Bombyx mori: one gene and its partners. The protein of the gene in region 1 purifies or fractionates together with the protein of each later gene. This does not show direct contact. Links are inferred from orthologs where the notes say so. Each region holds a gene or a part of one and is shown in the gene's direction. Other genes may lie near its edges.

What was found. The genes of interacting proteins can lie anywhere in the genome.
Region 2: the proteins of proteasome activator complex subunit 3 (region 1) and PSME3-interacting protein purify together in Homo sapiens (affinity purification with mass spectrometry; 4 studies listed by BioGRID and IntAct, counting the BioPlex papers as one, with this or other methods). This does not show direct contact. The link is inferred for Bombyx mori from reciprocal best matches to the Homo sapiens genes PSME3 and PSME3IP1.
Region 3: the proteins of proteasome activator complex subunit 3 (region 1) and importin subunit beta-1 purify together in Homo sapiens (affinity purification with mass spectrometry; 3 studies listed by BioGRID and IntAct, with this or other methods). This does not show direct contact. The link is inferred for Bombyx mori from reciprocal best matches to the Homo sapiens genes PSME3 and KPNB1.
Region 4: the proteins of proteasome activator complex subunit 3 (region 1) and proteasome 25 kDa subunit fractionate together in Homo sapiens (co-fractionation; 3 studies listed by BioGRID and IntAct, with this or other methods). This does not show direct contact. The link is inferred for Bombyx mori from reciprocal best matches to the Homo sapiens genes PSME3 and PSMA2.

Annotation. Positions count from the first base shown.
Region 1 is NC_085114.1:6,478,201-6,482,467, reverse strand, and holds the start of proteasome activator complex subunit 3, read left to right. Parts: upstream 1-1,467; 5' UTR 1,468-1,798; coding exon 1,799-1,819; intron 1,820-1,986; exon of another isoform or gene 1,987-2,014; coding exon of another isoform or gene 2,015-2,023; intron 2,024-2,133; coding exon 2,134-2,271; intron 2,272-4,122; coding exon 4,123-4,267. UniProt on the Homo sapiens protein: Subunit of the 11S REG-gamma (also called PA28-gamma) proteasome regulator, a doughnut-shaped homoheptamer which associates with the proteasome. 11S REG-gamma activates the trypsin-like catalytic subunit of the proteasome but inhibits the chymotrypsin-like and postglutamyl-preferring (PGPH) subunits.
Region 2 is NC_085126.1:1,613,680-1,617,366, forward strand, and holds the end of PSME3-interacting protein, read left to right. Parts: intron 1-1; coding exon 2-116; intron 117-638; coding exon 639-730; intron 731-2,310; coding exon 2,311-2,443; intron 2,444-2,970; coding exon 2,971-3,057; 3' UTR 3,058-3,187; downstream 3,188-3,687. UniProt on the Homo sapiens protein: Promotes the association of the proteasome activator complex subunit PSME3 with the 20S proteasome and regulates its activity.
Region 3 is NC_085110.1:11,420,898-11,425,076, forward strand, and holds the start of importin subunit beta-1, read left to right. Parts: upstream 1-1,379; 5' UTR 1,380-1,517; coding exon 1,518-1,575; intron 1,576-2,348; coding exon 2,349-2,590; intron 2,591-2,964; coding exon 2,965-3,145; intron 3,146-3,300; coding exon 3,301-3,560; intron 3,561-3,967; coding exon 3,968-4,154; intron 4,155-4,179.
Region 4 is NC_085130.1:10,804,571-10,808,503, reverse strand, and holds the start of proteasome 25 kDa subunit, read left to right. Parts: upstream 1-1,133; 5' UTR 1,134-1,146; coding exon 1,147-1,187; intron 1,188-1,373; coding exon 1,374-1,450; intron 1,451-1,613; coding exon 1,614-1,712; intron 1,713-3,933. Other genes in the region: uncharacterized protein LOC101740923, read right to left, coding at 562-850.

The DNA of each region.
Region 1 (4,267 bases):
TATGAAACTTCTAAGTCAATTCGTACCGTACCTATTACAATAAATCGGCAATTTCATACTTTAACCCGTATTATTTAGTTAAGCAATTCAAGCACTCAACAAAAATGTTTATGGGCGTCGGCCACTAGATGGCTTCTCTTCGTTTAGTTTCTAGTTACTCCTGTAGATGGCAGTAACATATTATCCATATGTTGTATTTCTAATGAAGGATTTTGTACATTTTTAAAAACCACTTATGTAACCAATTAAGTGTATTTATTATCTATATGTAACCTAAAACAGTATGGCATAAACAATACCGTTAATATAAAGCATTTACACACGCTCCAATTTGGTTCGAACTTACCACCAATTTGTTTTGCTACTAAACCAAATCTGATCGTCTGTGGCGTGGTCCTGCGAACATAGTAATTATTAGTTAAGTCTGCCTCAGTCTGCTGGTTAACACTTCTGATTTGGTTTGCTCCATTTGCGGCTAATTTGGTCTACCAGACCAAATTGGAGCATGTGTTAATACTTTTAGGAACAAGTATTACATCGTATAATATATTGGTGGAACCCTGCTACTACTTAATTAACTAAGATTGGTTAGAGTTAACTGTTTCCTCAATGTTAAAATTGTTAGTTAGCTCCAACGCATGTCAACAATTGTTTATGGCGGTATTCACGAAAATTAATAAACAAACTACTGCTACTGTTCTATTATAAATAAGTTACTTTTGTCGCACAAGACCCGATTCTGCCGGCCGAATGATAAACAGTCGACGTCGCCCTAAGCACGTCAATTCGGATCCTCCCGATCTACTAACAGTGATTTTAGAGACCTCAAGCACCGGTCACCGTTCTCGTCGAACCCGCCCCTTTTCCGATCCGGTGGTAGATTCTGCGAAGCACTGCTCTTGCCAAGGCCAATGTTAGCAGCACTCCCGGTTTGAGCCCCGTGAGCTCACCTACACGTCAAGGAGAAGCTGAAATAGGCTATAACTATAGGTAGAAAAAGAATCACTCTTTAAATGTATGTTTAGTGAAAAAAATTTTTAATAACAAATATATTTTATGAACTGAATTAAATGTAATTAGTGGCCATTTTCCAATTACTGGAAATTGAAATTGGAAAACTACCATTAAGTAATGGTTAATTACAGAGCATAATGCGACTCAGTGACGCACAATGCCGAATTATGCTGAAGCTTAGGAGCATTATGCCGCATAATGCGCTCTTGTGCTGTAATTGGAAAACGGCCAGTTATTGGGTATGTACGTATTTCATTAGAAAATTCGATACTTATTTGCGGGATTTAAAACGCAAATTCGTTCCTGTCGTAATTCCCAGTTAAATTTATACATATACTACACAGAGTTAATTAATAAAGCTGAGAAAGCTAGAAACAAATAATATATTTCTCACAATTTTAATAATTGATTTACGTTACTACCTCTATAAATCAGGACTTTTTCAATTAAGTAGGTAGGTACCTATGAAATTAAAAAAACTAATGCTATCGACTTATAAAATAAAAATGAATGCAGAAAGGAAAAAATAGGAAATGGAAAATAGAAATTAAAAACACTAAACACATGCAGGATCTAGAAAGTAAACGTAAAATACATTAGTGTAAAATATGTTTTGAACTGTCAGTCTTTGAATATGAACGCACCTTAAGACTTACAAAAACCAAAATTCATACATTCATAATACACGAGTAATTGATAACTTTGCAAAAGTGCGGTTTTTGTTTAAAAACAGTAAAAAAGGGATTAATCTTTATTAAATCCCTATAAAGTAATTCATCTCATAATGACAGACGTTGCAAAAAAGGTAAATTAAATAAAATAGCTTTAACAATATCGCTTTGTTTGACACGAGTATCGTCTGTAGTCTGTTGATCAGTGCGTGCGACCATAATTTTAATTTACCGTTTGTTAATTGAAAAATCATTCACTTTACATTCTGAATATAACACTTCTGATCACTGAATTTTACAGAGGGAATAATCTGTTACAAGTCGTCATAATGGGAGCTGTAAGTTTCGAGCAAAATCAACATAACCTCAACACGCCATGGTGTTCTGCTGTATCGTCCAATGAATTTGATTATCAGGTGGCGACATAATTGGCTCGTGTGTATTTCAGGTCCAAGACTACAAAGATTCTTTGAAACTAAAGGCGGAGCATTTGATAATTAAAGGTTTCCCAGAAAAGATAGTGAAATTAAATGAATTACTAGAGACATCAAACTTTCAAAATCGGAATTTATCGGACGTACATCAGGTGAATATCGCGACAATCTTATTACTATTTCGTACAGAAGTTTCGTATTTAGTACTTTCTATTTCGCATAGTGTATTTCTAGAAGTTTCCTAAGGCTCAAAAGTCAAATTGATTTTCCTATTATTTTTCCTAGAGTCGCCTTATTTCTAAAATCTTTTTAAAGGAACAAAATATGTATTCAACTTTAAACAAAAAAGTTACATTGTTATAAACTGTCTTTTAAACTCATAAACGCTCTCCACTTAAACATATATACATAAAATGTTACATAAAATCTTAAATTTCCCTTTTATATTCTCAATTTTTTTGACTATTGGTCATAATATGTAAATCCATATAACCTAATTAATATATAAAAAAACAACTTTTTAAACTTATGTGATATGAATGAATTGTTTAAAATACATTTTATAAAACTATTAATGCTAGCCTTTTTATCTCTTCTGAGATTTCTCACAACATCAATATACATATGTGTAGCTAGTATCTTGTAATTGTTAACAGTAGGCAGTGGTGTGGCTCTACCCCTGGGATTACTGATGTCTATGAGTGGCAATAATCACTCATCATCATAAGTATATAAGGGTATAAGGCTGGATAACAGCTTATTCTCTTTTTGGGTTTAACATTCAGAATTATAAATGGCTTAAAATGGAATTATAAACATGTTTTTACTAAACAGGTCTTATCTTTCTGTCTTATTTATGCCTTATGCCAACTTCTGTTTTAATTCAAATACTTGAAAAACAAGGCAAATGTTATGCTTCAGATTTTTATTTGGAAAAAGCATTTTGCACATTGCATTTTGGCCAATGTATACGCTTTTACTCTTTTAATTGAGAATTTCCGTGTTCAGTTGGAAATGGCTAGTCAAAATTCAGTTAACATCGATTATGATAAAGAGGGTGAAGATATTTTTTTTTGTCACTGAAATAAATAAATGAAACAACAAATTCAAACTGTTTTATGAACTGGATGCTTTTCATAAGGTCAAAGAGTTATAAAGTGACTGTGTATCAATGCCCTGTTTTTTTCTTCTTAAAAACTGTCACTAGATTCATCATCAAAGTCTCTCTCTAGTCACTCATTAGAAAATCAAATTTATTAACCCGTAGCAGTTTTTCCCTTTACAACATTCAAGAAACATTTCTGTCATGTACACCCAAATGTACTGTGCCCATTGTGGAGTGAACATATTTAAACTTATACATTACAGTAGTAATGTTGAAATGCCATTAAAAGGTAGTTGATTAATTCTGTGTGTATATAGTAATAATTATGTATAACAAATATTTGTCTACTGATTTAGAAATCAACTTAACAGTTAAATAATTTAACTATTCTCACAGCAACATGCTTGATCATTAAATCTTGATAACATATAGGCCAAAGATTATGCTAGGATGTCTTGTGAGTGTGCACCACCACCCTGCCTATTTCTGTTGTGAAGCAGTAATGCGTTTCAGTTTGAAGGGTGGAGCAGCCATTGTACTGTTGAAATTGAGACCTTAGAACTAGTGATTGAAGGTGGGCAACCACTTAACACTAGGTGGGCACCAAGCCCTTGAAAGTTAAACAAAAAAATAAATAATAACCATTACTGATTTCAAATCTAGCATTATTGCATCACTTGAGAGTCCTGAATAGTTGGCAGCCTTTGCCTCATTATCTAGCATTGTTGATATCCTTGAGCTACAGTGACTACTTAACATCAGGTTAGCCATATGCTCATCTGCCACAATGGCAATAATAAAGTACTTTTACCTTTATTCTTAAATAGAATAACTTACAATATTCTGATGAAATCAAGTATTTTTACATTTTGGATGTTTGATAATGATTTAATTTCAGGATTTAAACATTCCAATACCAACACCACCTGCGACGTCAAACAATGAGCCAAATGCTAAACGTCAAAGACTGGACTCATCGGAGTTATCCAGCAACTCAACCATAGAAGGAACACGGGTTTATGTACTGCCGAATGGTTCAGTAC
Region 2 (3,687 bases), on another chromosome or scaffold:
GAGAGCGAGTGTCCAATCTAGCTGAGAGTGAAGAAATGACTCGTCTCCGAGCTCAATTGGCTCTGGGTAAAACTCAAACCACAACAACACCGACACAGAAAAACAAACTGCAAGGGGTATGTGTGAAAATGAATAAAACTTTTTTTTTTATTGCTTAGATGGGTGGGCTAGCTCACAGCTCACCTGGTGTTAAGTGGTTACTGCAGCCCATAGACATCTACAACGTAAATGCGCCACCCCCCACCTTGAGATATAAGTTCTAAGGTCTCAGTATAGTTACAACGGCTGCCCCACCCTTCAAACCGAAACGCATTAATGCTTCACGGCAGAAATAGGCAGGGCGGTGGTACCTACCCGTGCGGACTCGCAAGAGGTCCTACCACCAGTAAAAGACTGAAGACTGCTGGTGGGCTTTGTCTCAAGGTAGGTGGCTGAATTTACGTTGTAGATGTCTATGGGCTCCAGTAACCACTTAACATCAGGTGGGCTGTGAGCTCGTCCACCCATCTAAGCAACAAAAAAAAGGAAATGTTTCGGTGATCGTAGCTGATTTCGAGAGCTCATTAAAATAATTTATACAATAGTGTTAAATTTTCATTGCTTCAATTTGTATATCTGTTTGTTAATTTTTCAATCAGTTGATTGTCAGAAAGCGTAAGGCGAGCGAAATAGAAGAGGAAAATCAGAAAGACGCGCCGCCCGCCAAGACCAACGGAGTGGTTTCGAACAAGTAATTAAATTTTCTTTTTTTTTTTTAACTATTGCATAGCTTTTATCGCGGGCCTTGAGCGCGGCGACTGAATCAAGAAATTCCGTAACGAAAATAACCTGACACCCCTCACTCCGCCTACCATGTAGCTCGCGTTCAACACATTCACACGTCGCGCTGGTGTAGTGTTTGTGAATAAGCGCGCGGCGTGACGTCGCACTGCATGAGCATCATGAAAAGTCTGCCCATCTCTCTCTCACGCGGTCTAGCTTATGAGTGTGAAGTGGACAGTTAATGTTTTGCTTTTGTTAATGTTTATAAATATAGCGTGGTCTTATTCTTATTATTGTTTTAATATTAAATTATTATTGTCTAATTGTAATTGCATAAGTTGATAAAAAATGCTTTGCAAATAGCTTTACCGCGGCAGTCCCCGAGTGCCACATGTCTTTTTTATTGATGCACATAACAAATTACAACCATAGAAATTGTAAGTTTAAATATTTAACATAATAATCTGGATGGCAGTTCAAAACAGGTGCATACAGAAAAAAATTAACAACTGAACAGATGCCTAAATACCATGTGTATATTATATACATACACACATACGCTCTCACACACACACACACACGCTCTCACACACACGCACACGCACAGCCATATGTAAGTTACTATCTAATTAAATTATGCACCTGATCTTTAGTGGTTACAGACGTCCACGACCACATCTCAAAGGTCAGAGTCAGCCATACCACTCTTCCGACCAGAGAATCTGGTGGAAATAGTGGTAAGGTTCCGACTAGTGCGGACTGTATGTGCTGATATCAACTTGAAACAGAACCTATAAACCTCAATTCTATAACGACCGCTCCACCCTAAAAACTGGAACAGCTACCTGCTTCAAGGTAGAAATAGGTAGAGTGGTAGCACCTACCCGTGCGGAATCGCAAGTCGTCCTACCACCATTAAAGTAATATAATTGTGGTACACGATAGCAACTAATATCGCCTGATTCTTAATCTGACAAATACAGATCAGGTAAAGTCCTCTGATCTCAATACTTTAAACAAATTTAATTTACAACTACCTGCAATTCGTGCAAATCCACACGTCATTTCGGATCCTCCCGATCCACTAACGGTGCTTTTAGGTACCTCAACTCAAGCACCGGTCATTGTTCTCGTCGAACCCGTCGCTTGCGACGAAGGGCTCGACGAGTAAATTAACCCTCAGACACAGCCCACTCACTGAGTTTCTCGCCGGATCTTCTCAGTGGGTCGCGTTTCCGATCCCGTGGTAGATTCTGCGAAGCACGGCTCTTGCTAGGTTTCGTGTTAGCATCGTCGTCAGGTTTGAGCCCCGTGACCTCACCTGCTAGTTAAGGTTACGTTGAAATAACCTCTTAAGGCTCTCAGCTAGGTAGGAATAAAAAAAAAGCAAATGCAACATTAAAAGGTTGACATGTGTGATTTTTTTTAGAATGTTTTACGGCCCTGGATGCGAGTTCTTATGAGCCCGTAGTAAAGTCACAAATTCACTTTACTGTTTTTATTTTTAAAGTACACCTATTGTAAGACCATGTGTGATTTCTTCCGCAGTGTTGCAACAAGTAAAATTCAAGCGGATTCCGGGATAGTCGTGGGCGCGTTGAGTGTGGCCGGAGTGTTGCCAGGGTTGGGACACTACCGCTCTGATTCATCTACCGATACAACCGATTCTAGTGACGACGAGGTATGTTAATAATTAAAAACAAAAGTCTGCTTAGTTTAAAAATAAGAATAGTAACGAAAAACCCATCTTGTGTGCTCACAAGAGGTATATACCGCTATGCTATCTAGTTCTGATACATTGTAGCGGCCGTCTGGTGTAGTGGTAAGTGACATGGTCTCTACAACGTAAATGCGCCACCAACCTTGAGTTCTAAGGTCTCAGTATAGGTACAACGGCGAAATAGGCAGAGTGATGACCTACCTGTACCTACCCGTGCGGCCTCGCAAGACGTCCTAACACCAGTAGGACTGTTGGAAACCCAACAAATTGGTATAAAACCTTTTTTATTGTTGTGGTTATGGTTTTGACATTACATTTGAATTTTGGAATGTCTTAGATTTGTCATTCTCTTTTTATACGTGCAATCCTCGCGAGTTTATTTATTAAGTTCCTTGCCCATCCTAATCCCACAGTCCACTACAGGACTCCTTATATACAGCATGCTGTTTATTGGATTGTTAAAATATATACAGTATGTTTTTTTTTAGAGCGATAAATGTTGCAAGAGGGACTTGCTGGGACGGCGGCCGGAGCACGCGGAGAGCAAGTCGCGCAAAGACGAATCCAAAAGTTAGGGTTGTCTATGAAATACGACGATTTATTTAAAAAAAACAATGATTCCGCAAACGTATCCTGTTTACGCGTACTTTCGAACGATGTGATTTTAGTATGTAAGTTATTGAAATAAATGAAAGGTTTTATTGATTTTCTTTGTTTTATTTCTGGAAGTGATAACTTCTTAAGAGAAGATAAGCCGCTTCGTTACGTAACGCGTGACGGCGTTAGTCTTGCTTCCCTTACGTAATTTTTTTTTTTTTATTGTTTAGGTATGTGGACGAGCTCACAGCCCACCTGGTGTTAAGTGGTTACTGGAGCCCATAGACATCTATAACGTAAATGCGCCACACACCTTGAGATATAGTTCTAAGGGTCTCAGTATTGTCACAACGGCTACCCCACCCTTCAAACCGAAACGCATTACTGCTTCACGGCAGAAATAGGCGGGGTGGTGGTACCTACCCGCGCGGACTCACAAGAGGTCCTACCACCAGTCATTACGCAAATTATAATTTTGCGGGTTTGATTTTTATTACACGATGTTATTCCTTCACTGTGGAAGTCAATCGTGAACATTTGTTAAGTACGTATTTCATTAGAAAAATTGGTACCCGCCTGCGGGATTCGAACACCGTCGCATCGCTCGA
Region 3 (4,179 bases), on another chromosome or scaffold:
CTCGCACCACACTGAATACTCGCTACCGTGTTGACTCAATACAGATTCACATTCACAACTCCCATAAAACCAATTTGGAACTGCCGAACGATTTTGTGAATCAAATTCAATTTCCGGCACGAGGTTTTGTGTATGAGTTCAAGAACGCAAACAACTTGTCCAAAGTAAATTTTTTTTCACTTTTTGAATTGACTATTAAATTTGACTGGTAAATAGAAGCGAATTCAAAGCTAAATAGATCTTTATCCTTAGACCTATATTCTTGTATTTTGAAATGTCTTATTTATGTATATCTTTACGAAGTTGCCGTTTTACAAGGCCATATTATTATGACACATCATGCATGCCTAGAAAAAAATTTAAATTCTAGCAATAAATCATAAATTCAAATTACCTAATCTTATTTATAAAATATGGAATTCTATTTTCAAATTCGGTCATTTGATTAGTGCTTTGTTTTCATCACATTCATGTTAATATAGGTATAGTAAAAATATATGTAATAATGGAATAAGAGTTCCATCGCGGCAACAATGCCGCACAAACAACCCACAACATTAATTATATATGTATGGAGTGAACACTTTGAGTAAGCCTTTCCGGAAATTTGATATAAAATACGAACGCCTAAATCTATACAATCATCAACGACGAATCAGAAGCGATCGTGGAAAATAACGACACTCAAGCTATCGTTGAATTAGCAACAGCTTTTAATGCTAGCATCAATACAATATAGGTTTATTTGCGTCAAATTGGGAAAGTAACAAAACTTGTTATGTAGTTGCTGTACCAATTGAACGATCGCCAACGCGACGAACGCATTAAAATATAAGTTGCGTATACAGTTGCTCGACAGACTCAGAAAGTAAGGGATTTTAAACCGCATTATTACTTGCCAAGAAAAAATTATTATTTTTAATAATTGTAAGCGGTCATCATGTTGATTATACCCTGGTTAAGCAATTAAGCAATGCCCTAAACAAAAACACATCCATAAAAGTCATGGTCAATATTTGATGGTCTAGTGCCGGTATCACACCTTCTGATCAAATGGCAACAGCATTACTGCAGATGTGTGACATGAGGAACTGGACAAAAGTTGAATGCTCGCATAAATAACTATTTGCTATTTGAGATTAATTATGGTAAATCCATTAGGACTTCTTGGAAAGCTTATCATTGTCATGATATATAACCAAATACTTGAAATTGAAAAACTTATTGTGGTTTATATGTGCCTTTTGGGGGAAATCGAGAGAAATTACACTTGATTAAATACCAAACACTTTTTTCTTGAAAAATCAGCTGCTAGCGACATCTTTACCAGATTTCGTGGGCCAGTGTCCTACACTATCACAATTGAAATAGAGTATAGATTAAAAATACCCTCTGCTGGCAACAATACTCAATAGCCAATATTTCATGAGTGTTCTTCCGTCGTCCGCCGGTTTCTATTTTTCAAAAAACAGGATTGAGTCAGTCTTTTGCAACATAAACTTAAGAATAGTGAAACAATGCACGCAGAAACAACATTAACGCTTATACAAATACTTGAGAAGACAGTTTCACCTGGTAAGTAATATGACTAACATCAACATGAACATGGATGGCGTTATAGAAAATAACGTACTTTTGCTACCTATAAACTATGCCATGATTCTGAAATTTATCCGGAAAAACTGTAGAATGGATAAAAAAATGGCATTTCTCAGCAAAAAGCATTTGAATTAAAACGAGACTGTAATTTTATCTAGTATCACCAACCGCAATGCTTACCTGTCATCCAGGAAACTTCTAGTTCAGCTTTCGAACCTCACGATGTCTGTGTTATTAACATTCAATGAAAAAGTGTGCTATAACTTTTGAATTCAATAGCTATTTTAATTCATTGTACATATAAAAAACAAAAAAATAAGTTTAAGGTTAGAAAATAGTGGATATTCTGTAGTATTAAATGAATAGGTAACGATTTTGTACATACATACCCTAATAAGAAAGAAACAATGTGCAACAGGGGCCGTATAAAATATATTTAAACAACATTATTTCAAAGTATAAAAATATTTATTAAGAAATTATAATAAAAGAAGTAGTGGTACTAAATAATCAATTGGTTTTGATGTTCCCTTGGCATGGATGACTTGGATTAGTGATCGTGACTACTCACCATTAGGTGGCCCATATTCTCGCCTGGTTTCAGTGGTAATAAAATACAAAAAAGACCTCACAAATTTGATTCTCTAACACCTTTTGTTTTCATGTGACATATCAGTATACAGACATAGTTAAATTTGGGGTACTTCACTTTGTAAATTATGTACTTAGATTATGGTTATTGCTTACAGATCGAAATGAATTGGAAGCAGCAGTTAGATACCTCGACCATGCTGCCACCACAAATTTCACAACATTCATCAAAATGTTGTCCGATGTCCTTCTCCAAGGTGGTAACAGTCAAGTGGCTAGGATGGCAGCTGGTTTGCAATTGAAAAATCATCTCACTTCTAAAGATCCTACACTTAAACAACAATATCAACAAAGATGGCTGGCTTTGGCAGAAGATGTTCGACTTTATATAAAAGAAAATGTAAGGCAATATTGCAAACAAGAAACAAGTGAAACATTGAAAAATTCACTAATAAGTTACTTAATAATAAAAATATATATAATATTATCTCTAAGCTAAATTGCTCAATTATTGTCTAAATAGCAATTCCCTGTATGTCTTACTTAGATTAAAATTAAAATTAGTAATAAATATAATTTAACACAACACTAATAAATACAAACACACAAGACATCTAAAACGTAATTACGCCACCCATCTTGAGATACAAGTTCTAAGGTCTCAGGTATAGTTATAGTATAGAGCTTGAACTAATGAAGGTGGAGAATCTGATAAGTTCCATCAGGTGTAGGTAACCAAGTTATATTTAATTTTAATACTAGTTTCTTTTTTAGATATTAGCTGCTATAGGAACAGAGAATAGTCGTCCAAGTTCAGCAGCACAGTGTGTGGCGTATGTGGCAGTAGCTGAGCTCCCAGTAGGACAATGGAATGATCTAATACCAATTCTTGTAGAAAATGTTGTTCATGTCCAATCTACTGAACTCAAAAAGGAAGCGACTTTGGAGGCTATTGGTAACTGAATGAACATTTGATAGTTAAAAGAGCTATGACAAATTATGTTATATAAATAAACAAAAAAAAAATTACAGTTTTAATTGTGCTTTATAACTAAAGGCAAATTGCTATTAATCTCTTTAACAATACTGATGTATTTCTTATTCTTCTAGGCTACATTTGTCAGGATATTGATGCTGAAGTATTAACAGAAAGAAGTAATCAAATTCTTACGGCCATCATACATGGCATGAGGTCAACTGAACCCAGTAATCATGTTCGACTAGCTGCTACTCAAGCTTTGCTCAACTCTCTAGAATTCACCAGAGCGAACTTTGAAAAAGAAAATGAAAGAAACTTTATTATGGAGGTTGTCTGTGAAGCCACACAGTCTAGTGACATGAGAATCAGCGTTGCTGCTTTGCAATGCTTAGTAAGTTTTATAAATATATAATGTGAATCCAAGTATTATATTTAAAATTAAAATAAAATACCACCTTAGCTACCACATTAGCTTTCTTCCCATGAAAGTAGAAAAAATTATATACCTCAGGAATATTACTTTTTTGTGGATAGTATCCTTTTATGTCCTTTTCTGTACTCTTGACAGCATTTATGTAAAATTTCATAATTAATGATTGATTAGTTAGATATGAAAGTGTATGAATTACAATTTATATTAATATTACATTTACTCAGTTATAAATTTATAATATTAACATGAATAACAAAGCTAAGACTTATTTTTTGGGATACCAGCTATTGACATGATTAAATTTAAACAATTACTGTATTAATTAATTTAAAAAATAGTTTTTAATCAAACAAAATTATCTTCAGGTGAAAATTTTATCACTTTATTATCAACATATGGAACCTTACATGGGACAAGCTCTATTCCCCATAACACTTGAGGCTATGAAATCTGATATTGATGAGATTTCATTACAAGGTATTGAATTCTGGTCCAATGTGAGCGATGAGGAAATAGATCTCGCAATTGAAGAAGCTGAAGCAGTTGAAGCAGGTATGAAAGTGATACTTCTATTCTC
Region 4 (3,933 bases), on another chromosome or scaffold:
AGAAGCAGAGGATCAAGCTCAGTGGCGTACAATTGGAGAGGTCCAGCAATGTACTATAGGCTTACGATGATGAATCGGGTATAAAAGTTGGAACAGCACGCAGATCAGAAGAAGAGTTAAAAAGAACAGGATAATTGTTCAATTCCCTTCCTAATAATGGTAATGAGGATATGGGCATAGGTTAAATACGGTATTTAAGTTATTAACAGAAAAATAATGTATAAGACCTTAGACCTTATCTTTGTCTTTATATCCGGTTGGACACCAATGATAGGGTAGCTTAGGTACTAAAGAAATATAGTTTCAAAACTGTACGTGAACTTGATCGATATTTTAGATCAACGATAAAACTGTGGTACTGACGTCGCTTCTAGACGTGTGTGTGAATTTTCAAATTATTTGGACGTCTTTAAGTCTGTTAAAATTACGTTAAAATATTCCATTCCATATATGCAGGACGAACTAATGATAGGGCGTTAGAAAAGAACTTACTTATTAAGACCTATTACGTCCTAATATCTACAGTTTGATTATTTTTTTGTTGAAAACAAGAATAGTTACCTTGTCCCAATCTCAAGACGGCTAGTATCGTGAATGTCAGAATTAAGTTCCCGATAGCCAATACGAATAAAAGACAAACGAGAGTCCAAAATGCGAAGGTTTTCCTCCCTCTGTGTACGGTTTCCGTGACATCGTTCCCGTTCCTGTCCGAATAATTTTTAATATTACTTTTGAGTAACGTATGCGTTGGAGTTTTTGTTATCAGAGCCTTTTCAGCTCGGTTTCTCTCTAACGTGCTCTCGGACATGGTCTCTGAGGACGAAGATACTCCGCGGAGGCCAACCGACATAACGCACTAATGTTTACGCACGTATTTCAATGGGAAACCATTAAATTAAAAATAGATTTTTTTAGAAGGATGCGACAACAAAATATTGAGCGAGAAGCATCGCCTTTTATTGGTTAAGCCTATTTCAGACTAAATCCAATTGACCAATAAGGAGTGAGTCAATTTGATGTTGCCATATAAAAAATTTAAGAAGATGTGATCAAACTAATTGAGAAATATTTCTGAACGATTGGAAAACAGTGATGACAACATGACGCAGTGAATTATTGACAAATTTGACAATCTGCACTGTAATCATGGCGTCGGAGAGATACAGTTTTTCTCTCACAACATTTAGGTAAAAAAACTATATATTTACATGTTTTAAAAGTCTAATTAGCAATGGAACATAAAGTTCTGTGATAATTTTCAATGATGACTTAAGTTGCTTAATGTCTTAGCGTCTAATCTACTCTGTTTGATTCACACTAAAGTTGCGGTATGATTTTTGGTTAATGTTATCTCAATTGTTGTGTTTTTGCAGCCCCTCGGGCAAATTAGTGCAAATCGAATATGCTTTAGCTGCCGTAGCCGCCGGTGGTACTTCCGTCGGCATCAAAGGTTAGTAAATAAAAATTAAAGGTTATTATAATTCTAAACTAGAACTATAACTTCCTTTGTACTAATTACTGTGTATCATCACATAAAAAAACCGCAAATGTATATTTTTTCCCAGGATGACTCAGTATTTTTAAGAGTAAAAAGGATGTTTTCATATTTGCAGCGTCAAATGGCGTCGTGATTGCCACAGAGAACAAACACAAGAGCATACTGTATGATGAACACAGTGTCAACAAAGTCGAGATGATAACTGGCCACATTGGTGAGTTGAGTCTCCTTTTTGTCCCTACTTATTTGCTGATAGCCTAGGAGGCCATTCCAGTTACGCCTAAACAGGTAGGTGAGCTAACGGGCTTAACGTAAGCGAATTTTCTAGCAGCGAAGCAGTAATGCGTTTCGGTTTGAAGGGTGGGGCAGCCCTTGTAACTATACTGGGCTCAGGTAACTACTTAACACCAGGTGGGCTCTGAGCTCATCCACCCATCTAAGATATAAAAAAAAAAACATCAGAAACATGTTAGTTAGTTTTAAATTTTAACATTAGTTACTTAATACTCCTATTCGTATAAGAGAACAAGTATTGTCTGCTTTTCTTACTCATCCTACATTGTGTGAACTTGACGCACATATCTTTTTTACCATTCAGGCTTATTATAAATTGTCATCTCGGCATTGATACCCATCTCATATCATCATTTACACAGTGCAGTACTATTTTCAGACTTCCACTTATATGGGATAAATTCTTCTTTCATCAACTGCTTTCCTATAAATGAACAATTATATTGGTTATAAAGAATTTATCTTGTATATATATGTCAAAGGAAGCAATGAATAGAGTTGATTCTTGTTTACATACAAAATGCATATATTATTATTTTTAGGTTGTAATTACTTTTATAATTCTTAATTTTATTTTATTTTGTTTGTTACATTTTCCTATAGCTTTAAAACCTTCTATAAAAATAAATTGTAATAAAAGGTGCCAAAATTGTAAATTCATGTAGGTAACAACCAATCAGAGCAGAGCATTTATCTTCCGCATGGTCAAGGTGCCATCTTTACTTTGGGAAGGCGTATATTGTCTGGTGACACATTTTGAGCAATAAAAACGTATCGAGTTGGATCGTTGGAGAGTTCAAGTGAGATTGGTGCAATTGCTGCTCGGTCTAAACTGTAATATTCTCCCACAATATTACCGTGGAATAACAAAATATTGTATAATCTAAATGAAACTAGTGATAAAACCAATCATAGTTATCATTTGTGTTTTATATCTGTCACTATCTGTCTCGGTCGCTCATGCAAACATGTCCGCTATCCATCTCTCTCATCATTTTGTCGTAAAATTAAGAACCTACCAAGAGCTTGTGTGAATAAAAAACATTTGAACTGAGTAAAATGGGTTAGTATCAGGTCACTCGGGGTTCTTATTTTTTTTAGTATGAAACTAACAAGTTTTGTACCATTTTACAATCCTGATTTAATGCGCGAACTTTTAATGGCACTTGCCAAGGCACTTTAGTACTTTTTTTTAAAGGAGGGCCTTTCAAAGTCGACAAATTTTGAAAATTTTAGATTCATAGTTTGACAAATAATCTTAATTCTAGAAAACTTGGGGTCAGTTGTGCTTTTATTTTTGACTGTGGTTCTAGAAATGTTATTTAGGGTTACGGTTCCAAAGTTTAAATGAACAAAAATAATAAAAATTAACCACAATAACCGAAAAATGGTTACAGTTTGACCAAATTTCTAGGTTTTCCTTAAATGGTCATAATTTCCAAACTGCATTGGATAGATTTTTTTTCTGATTTTTCTCATGATTGTTCCTGTCACCAGGTTTCGGCTTGACGTTGAGTTCTGGGACACCATGTTTATGGTTGTCAATACATATCCTAACCTTCTCGTCGAACCCGTCACTGAGTGACCTGACTTTCTCGCCGGATCTTCTCAGCGGGTCGTGTTTCAGACCCGGTGGTAGATTCTGCGAAGCGCTCCTTTTGTTAGGGTTAGTATTAGCAACGTCGTCAAGGTTTGAGCTTCGTGAGCTCACCTACTGGTTCGGTGAATCTAGAATAACTCCTCAAGGTTACTAGAGTATAGGAATGAAAAAAAAATCCTACTTAAGTTAGGATTTTTTTTTAAGCGGTAGGCAGCGGCTTGGCTCTGCCCCTGACATTGCTGAAGTCCATGGGCGACGGTAACCACTCACCATCAGGTGGGCAGTATGCCCGTCTACCTACAAAGGCAATAAAAAAAAAAAAACAATTTGTGACATGTCCGCTTGGTCAATATGAGGGAAAATGTCTATGGTATATATAAATATGAGCATAGCTTTAGCTTACTAGATACAAATTCGGGATACATTATTGGCTTGAATTAAGGAAACAGGTAACTAATTGACGTTGGTACAAGTAATCCTCTCCAGAAAAACCCTAACACACTAGCACTCAACAGTATAAAAAAATCATTAATATACCTTT